Linked DNA regions of Macaca fascicularis. The protein of the gene in region 2 binds, or shares a complex with, the protein of the main gene of each other region. Links are inferred from orthologs where the notes say so. Each region holds a gene or a part of one and is shown on either strand. Other genes may lie near its edges.

Region 1 (2,278 bases), on a different chromosome or scaffold from region 2:
ATCATCAGAGCCATTTCCTTAATGTTTTTCTTCCCCCACTCATAAGTTAGTGACTGTAGTCAGGCCGCCACATTGTCCTGGCTCTGGCCCGCCAGCTTCATTGGTATTGCTGCCCTGTCCACTTCCACTTACCCTCCCTCCCACTGGAATGTAGAGAGCCAGCTCCTCCAGCTGCTTCCAGAACCACCAAGTCCTCTCCTCCTACTCTCTTCATAGTCATCTCCCATGCCTAAAAGGCTAAAAGCCTCTGTGCACATCTTCCATAAAAATAATGAACATTTCTAGACTATGCAAGCGACTCAATCAAGTCAGCGTGAACTGACTTCCTAAGAGCCTGAAAGTGCTGGAAGGACCCGAGCAGGGCTCCTTGCCAATTCAAAATTCCGCGCCAAATGGGTGGTATCTTCTGGGCCTGGGGTACCCTCAGGAGCCAAAAGTACAACACTCTCTCCCAAACGGAAAACCGCATTGGAGGATAAATGTTGAGAACAGTCAGCCAGGAGACTGAGATAACCCTGAACCCAGATACCAAAAGGCTGGAATAGATCCTACATTGACAAGTGATCAGCTGGCTGTGGGCCAGAAACAGTACACCACAGACAAATTGCAAAAAAATGATTTTACAGTAAATGAACTTTTTACAAAAAGGGGAGGGGCAGTCTGAAAAAGTAAAGTTTAATTTAAAAATCATATACACAAAGCTTCTGATTCATTTGCAGCTTTCCCACTGTCTTTCACAGGCGAGTCAGTTTCCCTTTGAGTGCAGGCCAGTTAAAGATGCCACCACAGTGGACAGTGAGCCAGCCCCTCCTCAACAGGTGAGCAAGACTGGCTGCCACTCAGGCTTGAACAATGCCGATGACCTGAGTGACTAGGCAGCAAGGCTGGCTTCTGGCGAGGTTCAGAAGGCTAGCTTCTTCATCAGGAGATAAACTCTGGAATCCACCTCGAATCCATGCAGGTTGTTGGCATCCCCCTGCAGCCTCATGAGCAGGCCCCCATAGGACACATAGGCAGAGCTGAAACAGAAGGCCCCATCCCATGAGTCTGGAGCACTGCTACTCAGCAGCTCTCCATCTCAGCCTAAGAAAAAGAAGAGGCATCTTTCTACTGTTTTGTCACTAGGAACCAAAATTCTGACAAAGATCAAGATATGTGCAAGGCACTGTTCTTTATATTAGCGAAGGTGGAAAACACCTATATGCCCCAAATCAGGGGAATGGTCAAATGAATCAAGATGTATCCACTTACTGAAATGTTATGCAACTATTAAAACATTTAAGAAAAGCTTCACACTAACATGGGGAAACATATTTTACATAATGTTAAGCAAAAAGAGCAGAAGAAAACATAATAAACACCACAGTCTCAAAGGAAAAAACAGAACACCAGGATATGCAAAAAAGTCTATGTAAAAGGTTATCTCTGGGTATGGAATTACAGGTGACTTTTTTTTTTCCTTCTTCACATTACTCTTCTGCATTTCAAATTGCTTACAAAAAGCACATATTGTTTTAATAAGATTTTAAAGAAAAGAAAAAATAGCTGGACAGGAAAACCAAGGAACTAGGGATTGGGTTACAGAGTAGCAAAACACACACACACACACACACACACACACACACACACACACACACACACACACAGCCTAATAGGATAATCACTTAATGCTGCATTTGTTTCTGGAGAAGCAAGTCTCCTTTGCACTTTACACAGTAAGATAACCAGTTTCTCATCTGGACTGCTGGGCCAGGAGGGCCTGACAAAGAGCAGTCTACCTTTCAGACTGGAAACTGCTCTCAGAACCATTTCTTTCTAGTTCCTACCTAGGTCTGAGGTGCCTGAGGAGAGGGACCCAACAGAGGAAGCAGGAGCATAGCTCAAAGTCTCAGAACACAGAGAGGGAAAAGAACCTCATAAGATTATGTAACTTACAGGCGTGTTGCTGCTTCAGTAGAAGTTTCGTCTCCCTCAATCCTGTACACTTTTCCATACATTACATATTCAAATTGGTCAGCCCTGTGGAGCAATAGCAGCAAAGTTATTCTTAACAGTAATTAACAATATAAAAAATCCCATTTAAAAATGGTTACTGGTCGGCTGGGCGCGGTGTATCAAGCCTGTAATCCCAGCACTTTGGGAGGCTGAGGCGGGCAGATCACGAAGTCAGGAAATCGAGACCATCCTGGCTAACACAGTGAAACCCCATCTCTACTAAAAATATAAAAAAATTAGCCGGGCGTGGTGGCGGGCGCCTGTAGTCCCAGCTACTCGGGAC
Region 2 (3,658 bases):
TTTATAAAATATATTCCTTCTTCCCACACCTCTCCAAAATTTATTCCTTCAAAGTACTGAAAATGTAATATTACTGTACCACAGTGATATTAAATGCAGTGTCAGTGCCAGAGAATATGCAGAAATGACATGTGGCACTTCCAGTGCTGTCTTCTGGAAGAATAGTTAGGTCTTCCAAGCGTGAGTGTTCAAACACTGGTACTTTAAAGAGCTGGGTTATCAAGAGTCAATGGCTAATGTGTTGACTCGGGGGCCTGCTGGAAAAGGTATACCGTGATTAAGTGACCTGTGTACATCTTCCAGGTTTTCTTCCAAATATCAAATACAGGAGAGAACGTATTTCAAACATTCTCTTAGGTGTTTTCAGTGGTTTCTGAACCACCCATAGGAAGCACTGATGGTGTATAGTCTTTTTTTCTTTTATTTTTAGTTGACATGCAATAACTACATATTTATGGGGTATGCAGTGATATTTCCATGTATGTAAATAATGTATAATGATCAAATCAGAGTAGTTAACACATTCATCACCTCAAACATGTATCTTTTTTTGTGTTGTGGACGTTCAAAATCCCCTCTTCTAGCTTTTTGAAAATAAACAATAAGGCTGGGCATGGTGGCTCACGCCTGTAATCCCAACACTTTGGAAGCCGAGGCAAGAGGATTGCTTGAGCCCAGGAGTTTGAGACCAGCCTAGGCAACAAAGTGAGACCCCCATCTCTACAAAAAAAATTTAAAAATTAGCCGAGCATGGTGGCACATACCTATGGTCCCACCTACTCAGGAGGTTGAGGCGGGAGGATCCCTTGAACCTAGGAGGTTGAGGCTGCAGTGAGAAAATATACAACAAATATAGTTAACTTATTCAACCTGCAGTGCTGCAGAATACCAGAACTCAGTCCTCCAGTCTAGCTGTAATTTTGCAATTGCAGGCTGCCTTAACCATTTCAGTGAGTGTTGGCAGCATAGACTAAGATGGGCTGTGTAGTTCGTGTGATTGCTTTTAGGTGTGGACTGTGTAGTTCGTGTGATTGCTTTCAGGTATGGGCTGTGTAGTTCGTGTGATTGCTTTTAGGTGTGTAACAAATATAACGGGTGAAGGAGGGCATGACATTGAAGAGCTATCCTTTCTGCACCTGAAAAGCTCTCCTTCAGGTTTTTGGTTTTGCTGTATTCCATATCCAGTGTATGTTAGTGGACCTTTGTTAAAGGTTGTACAGATTACATGGGAATAAATATGACGTTTGTAATAATTTTATTTTATTGAGAATAGGGTCTTGCCCTGTTTCCCAGGCTGGAGTGCAGTGGCACAATCGTGGCTCCCTGAAGCCTTAGGCTCCTGGACTCAAGCGATCCTTCTGCCTCATCCTCCCAAGTAGCTGGAACTACAGGCATGCCCCACCCCTCACCCCACCCCCTTCTGGCGAATTTTTAAATTTTTTGTAGAGACAGGGTTTTGTTTCACCATTTTGCCCAGTCTCATGTTGAACTCTTGGTCTCAAGCGATCCACCCAATCCTGGGATTATAGATGTGAGCCACCACACCTAGCTCACATACTATTTTATATTAATTTTTTGTTTTTCTTATTTCAGGAAAAACTGGAAGGTTGGTTAGTGTCTATTAAAATAGCTTTTGATAAGAAGGCTCAGAAGACCAATGTTTCCATGAACACTGACAATTTGATGAGGATTTTTACTATGGGAATAGACCTTACAAAACCATTTGAATACCTTTTTGCTACTGGGAATCTGCGTTCTAAAACAGGTAAAATTAAATAGAGCATTTTAGTTATGTTTTTCAAACTATTTGCTTAATGTAGATTTGCCTGTCCTTGACAGGTTCTTTTTAAAAGCAAACCCCCCCAAAAAAGTAAATTTCTCGTAACTATGACTTTGATGACTATTGATCTGAAGGACTTTAGACAAGGTGTCTGTATAGCTAAAATTTAATTCAAATAACCAAATACATTTTCTCTGCCTCCTTCTAGAAAATGAAAAGACCACTTAGACCTCTGAGGAAGGCTTACCTAATAGGAATTCTGCATGGGTTGCTGTACATGCCCATCTCTAAACCAGTTGCCTTGCCTCAGAGTGACCTGAGAGGCCAGGTGTGGTGGCTCATGCCTGTAATCCCAGCACTTTGGGAGGCCAAGGTAGGAGGGTGGCTTGACTAGGAGGTCAAGGCTGCAGTGAGCTGTGATTGCACCACTGCACTCCAGCCTGGTGACAGAGTGAGACCCTGTCTCAGCAAAAAAGAGAATGACCCTGGAAACTTAAAAAGTGGTAATTGGGAACCCAGAAATTTTTTTTTTTTCTTTTTTTGTGAGTCAGGGCCTCACTGTGTCACCCAGTCTAGAGTGCAGTGGCAGAATCATGGCTCACTGCAGCCTTGACCTCCCGGGCTCAGGTGATCCTCCCACCTCAGCCCCACTAGTAGCTGTGACTACAGGCACAAGCCACCACACCTGGCTAATTTTTGTGTTTTTTGTAGAGATGGGGTTTTGCTGTGCTGCTAAGGCTGGTCTGGAACTCTTAAGCTCTGGCGAACTACCCACCTCGCCCTCTTGAAGTGCTGGGATTATAGCATTAGCCACTGTGCCCAGCCTTTTTTTTTTTTTTTTTTTAAAACCCCTGTTACTGATGCCGATTCTTTCATTAGCCTTCTTACTTGCTTGTCTATTATCTGACCCTCTCAGATGAATTTAACTACTTGCTATTTTATTAACTCATTTAATGTTCTCCTACAAAGGAGGTCATAGAGGAGATAGGGAACTAGTTGGGGCTCATACAGTTTGTGAAATCTGGGGATTATTTTACATATTTTTTGCGAACTCTTTCCACTCATCAGAGCTAGGAGAATAAATGTTGTAATAATTCATTCTGTAATCTGTAGAGTGCTCTGAGGTTTTGTCGTCACAAAGCCTCAAAAATTTCCGTTTTTTAAAAGATTGGCCCATTTTTGAGTGACTTTTGTTTTATTAAGGTCTTGGCCTCCTACAAAATTCTGGACTTTGTGTTGTGGCTGACAAGCTGAACTTCATACGCTACCTCTCCCATTTCCGCTGCGTGCACAGAGGGGCTGATTTTGCCAAGATGAGGACCACCACAGTACGCCGGCTGCTGCCAGAGTCCTGGGGCTTCCTTTGTCCAGTGCATACCCCAGACGGGGAGCCCTGTGGCCTGATGAACCACCTAACTGCCGTATGTGAGGTTGTCACACAGTTTGTGTATACGGCATCTATTCCGGCTTTACTCTGCAACTTGGGTATGTAGTGTATAGTGATAAACATCTTGCTTGATTTTTTTTTTGTTTTTTGTGTTTTTTTTGAGATGGAGTCTCGCTCTGTTGCCCATGCTGGAGTGTAGTGGCACGATCTCTGCTCACTGCAAGCTCCGCCCCCTGGGTTCACGCCATTCTCCTGCCTCAGCCTCCCAAGTAGCTGGGACTACAGGCACCCGCCACCACGCCCAGCTAATTTTTTTGTATTTGTAGTAGAGACGGGGTTTCACCATGTTAGCCACGATGGTCTCGATCTCCTGACCTCGTGATGTGCCTGCCTCGGCCTCCCAAAGTGCTGGGATTACAGTTGTGAGCTACCGCGCCCGGCCAAGATTACGTGGTTTTTAACCTGTTAAGTTGTGCTGCTTTTGGAGATTC
Region 3 (3,758 bases), on a different chromosome or scaffold from region 2:
AGAATTGCGAAGTGGGTGTGTGTGGTGAGGAACAGGGAGGGAGATCAATGACTGGTAGAGTGGGAGGATGTATATACTTTTACTATTTGAATTTTTAAATATGTATTGATTTTGTAACATAAAATATCTACTCTTTGGCAAAAAAAAGGCAAAGATGACCCATGTGGTAAATGTATAAAACAAGTTAAAGAGATCAAATTTCTGTCATGTCATTTGTAAGTATTCTATCCCTGACACACTGAAGTGATAAAAGTCCTTAAAAACCATATTACATATAGGCAAAAAAAAAAAAAAAGGATACATTTATTGAAACAAGTGAAGAGGTTAATAATATCACATCAGAGGCAAAGTGATACCATTTGAAACTGTGCTTTTTATTTATCAATTTAAAACTATCTGTTGATGCTTTCATTATACAAAGGATTCACTGTTAAATACTATAGATATACTATAGATATAGTTAAGGCATAATTCCAGTCCTCAGGAAACATTTGGTCGAGACAAATTTGATTAAGAGACAAGCTTTTCAAACAGGTAAACAGTTTGAAATAATGCAGAGTGTTACAAGTAGAAAAATATTTATTAAAGAAAAATAAGAATTATGGTTATGAAGCATGCACATTTAGCCTTGTCTGGAAAAAGTTTATGGAAGAAGGTAGTGCCTGAGGTCTTTTACATTAGATAACTTCTTAGTCCTCTGTCAGGTTCTCCACCTGGAATTGCCACAGTTAGTTTTTCTTCTCCAAGGGTCAAAATGCTGCTCATCCAACAACCAGCTTAAACACTAGGCATAAAGCATTAAACATTCATTTTCATTTGTACTTATCATGTATACTTAGTTGTGTATCTTATAGACAAAACGGTAAGCCCTTAAGAGCAAAAACTGGTTAAGTCATTTCTGTATCACTGGTGACTAGTGAGGTGTCTTGCACAGTGAAATGGGTGAATGATAGGAACTGGAGAGAGGGTAAGGGATCTAGTCTAGGCTAGAGGGTTTATATGAACAAATTCCAAGACAGAAAAGATACACGAGGTTAGTGCAGCATGTGACAAATGTTTTGAAGAATATATGGTAGACACCATCATCAGTCTTTTTGTGTCAGAAAGATGAACAAAAAAACAATGAACAAAGTTATTATATTCTAGGAAAGACAAATGGCCAGATCTGACTTTTCAAAACTACTCACATTATGAAAAAAGCAGGAACAAATCTAGTTTCAAGTTCAGCATGCCGCTCCCTGTTTAATTCATAAAACACAACTGGCAGAAGTATTACTTGAAGCAAAACAAAAGTAAATGTGGGAACTTGCTTATTTTGCTAAGCCACAATGTATTTTTCCAGCAATAGCATAAATTTGACATCTTTCTTTGTGTCTATGGAAAAGGGGTTTAGAATTGTTTCACTAAAAATTAAATTTCTCTATTGTCAAACATGATTGTATACTCAAATTTTAAAATGTGAAGGGAATATTTATTAAACATTTCCTGGGTATGCCACTATATTAAGTCCTGGTAATATGATACAGTTTATTTCAAAGTTTTTTCAACTCACACTTCCTTTAAAATAGCACTGACCAAAAGAAAGTTAATGTGAGCTTCATGTACAATTTTTAATCTTTTTGTAGAAAAATAAACTGAGAAAGGCAAAAATTGTTTTATTTAACCCACTATACCAAAACATACTGATTTCACTAGTACAAAAACTGAGATAGTTTACATTTTTTGGTACATCTTCAAAATCTGGTATGTACTTTATACTGACAGCACATCTCAATTTGGTTGAGCTATATTTCCAGGGCTCAATACTCACGTGAATCTCAATTGTAATCAAAGAGGCTGGCCTGCACCCTTCCATTGTCTAGCACATCTACTTGTAGACAATTGCCAACATCTGCCACTCTGCCAATTCTGTATCCCATCAATAAAAGTTCAGATCAACATATATCACTAGCAGAATTTGTTCATTACCAAATATTTAGCTGTAAGATCAGCACTATGTCTGGTACTAAATAAATGGCAACAAAAATGCTGACATGGGAGTTCAACCATTCATCTATTTGCAGATACTAACACAGGTAACAGTGAGTGAACAATCCTCCCTGGTTTTATTCATTCCACTTAACACAATTATTAATTTTCTTATTTATTGTGTGTATATGCACATCGGTTTCTCTTATGACATGCCACAAGGGAAGGAACTACATCTATCTTGTTTGCCGTTACATCCCTGGGCCTTAGCAGAATGTGTTATACAAAGTAGATGGTCAAGTATGTGGAAAATGAATAAATTTGGCCATGCATTGATTATCAGCTTCAACCAGCTTGTCATTTCATTACACTTTGTCAATTAGTCAAGAGACATTCCACATTTTCTCAATGAAAGCAGTGAACAGAACAACTGTTTTCTCTTCAGCACAATATCTTATAGCCCATTCCAATCATTAAAAAGTAATCTGGAATTTCCCACAAGTCAGAATCACATTTCTCCTGTCTTCATTAGACTCTCCTCCAACATACAACAAAATTAGAATGGCTGAGGAACAAATGAACAAGTACAAGAAAACAGTCCTTTCCATCAACCTCTCAGACTTAAGAAGACAAGGACACACATGCACCTGGAAGAAAAAAAGTAATGAATAGCATTTACCACCACACAGTCAGTCCAGGCCTGGCTTTTAAGAGCTGTGAAGACTTCAGAAACTTCTTTGGAAAACCATTTTATGTTAAACAATAGAAATACTGTAGAAGCCATGATAAAGGAAAACCTAAAACTAGTTAATGTCCTGAGTTTTTAAAAAAGCAAAATAAAATAGCATGTAATAAGGTGAAGCCTATTAAACACACACAAAATCGAATCATCAAAATCTCAAACTTAACTCATTCTTCAGTCATATAATATTGTATTATAAAGTCCTTCGGCTAGTCTTGACATTGTAGAAATAATTTTATGTAGAGTGCAAAACCTGGAAGAATATGAGAGCCGACAGTGAGAGCCGACAGTGAGAGCAGCTATCTTTTTATTTTGTATAAAATGGTACTTTAATAATACTGATTCTCCCCAGTTTAACTTATGGTCAGTTTTATCATTTTTAGCACATAGAGCCTCCTACTCCTAGTTCAGTATTTTCTGTTTTGGAAAGTACTGGTATGCTTAACCATTTCATATCACTGAAAACATTTATTCATCAATTGTATGTCGATCAATCTTTTAAAAACTGAATCATATTTAAAATTAGTGACACTAAAGAAAATTACTTTTCCCTTTTCTTTTTGGTGAGCATTTCAAAGGTGGGGTAAATTCAGCCTCTTCACTGTGTTTTCTTTTCTTTTTTTTCTTTTTATGGTCACTTTGGTAACCACTGGAGTCACTGCCTTGGAAAACAGGGTCCTGGTCCTGAACTTCCTGGTGCTTTTTCTTCCTTTTCTTTTTCTTTGGCTCCTCCTCCCAGAGGCCATTCACATTATTAGTATTCTGCAGGGCTGACTCTTCCATTGGAGTGTCATCTGCATCATCTGCTAGCTTTGTAGTACCACTGTCCACTTCATATGTCTCTGGGTCTTTCTTCTTTTTCTTCTTCTTAGGTTTTTTAGCAGCTTCCTCAGTGCCATTTTCTGTAACTTCTTCAGAAACTTCAGAGCGCTTGAATCGTAAACTATAAATTAACAGTTAAAAAAATGAACAGAGCAATAAGCAAAAAACAAAGAACAAATTGAGATCAAGATACCCTAACAGGCTAAGGTTTTCTAAATAATGACAG

What was found. The genes of interacting proteins can lie anywhere in the genome.
Region 1: POLR1B (region 2) and POLR2H share a complex: the UniProt entries of both Homo sapiens proteins name them as parts of the pol I pre-initiation complex. The link is inferred for Macaca fascicularis from reciprocal best matches to the Homo sapiens genes POLR1B and POLR2H.
Region 3: POLR1B (region 2) and POLR1F share a complex: the UniProt entries of both Homo sapiens proteins name them as parts of the RNA polymerase I (Pol I) complex. The link is inferred for Macaca fascicularis from reciprocal best matches to the Homo sapiens genes POLR1B and POLR1F.

The regions. Positions count from the first base shown.
Region 1 is NC_088376.1:96,289,868-96,292,145, reverse strand, and holds the end of POLR2H (DNA-directed RNA polymerases I, II, and III subunit RPABC3), read right to left. Parts: intron 2,020-2,278; coding exon 1,936-2,019; intron 1,020-1,935; coding exon 902-1,019; 3' UTR 605-901; downstream 1-604. UniProt on the Homo sapiens protein: DNA-dependent RNA polymerase catalyzes the transcription of DNA into RNA using the four ribonucleoside triphosphates as substrates.
Region 2 is NC_088387.1:19,552,811-19,556,468, forward strand, and holds part of POLR1B (DNA-directed RNA polymerase I subunit RPA2), read left to right. Parts: intron 1-1,593; coding exon 1,594-1,765; intron 1,766-2,983; coding exon 2,984-3,265; intron 3,266-3,658. UniProt on the Homo sapiens protein: Catalytic core component of RNA polymerase I (Pol I), a DNA-dependent RNA polymerase which synthesizes ribosomal RNA precursors using the four ribonucleoside triphosphates as substrates.
Region 3 is NC_088377.1:110,498,657-110,502,414, reverse strand, and holds the end of POLR1F (DNA-directed RNA polymerase I subunit RPA43), read right to left. Parts: intron 3,654-3,758; coding exon 3,242-3,653; 3' UTR 354-3,241; downstream 1-353. UniProt on the Homo sapiens protein: Component of RNA polymerase I (Pol I), a DNA-dependent RNA polymerase which synthesizes ribosomal RNA precursors using the four ribonucleoside triphosphates as substrates.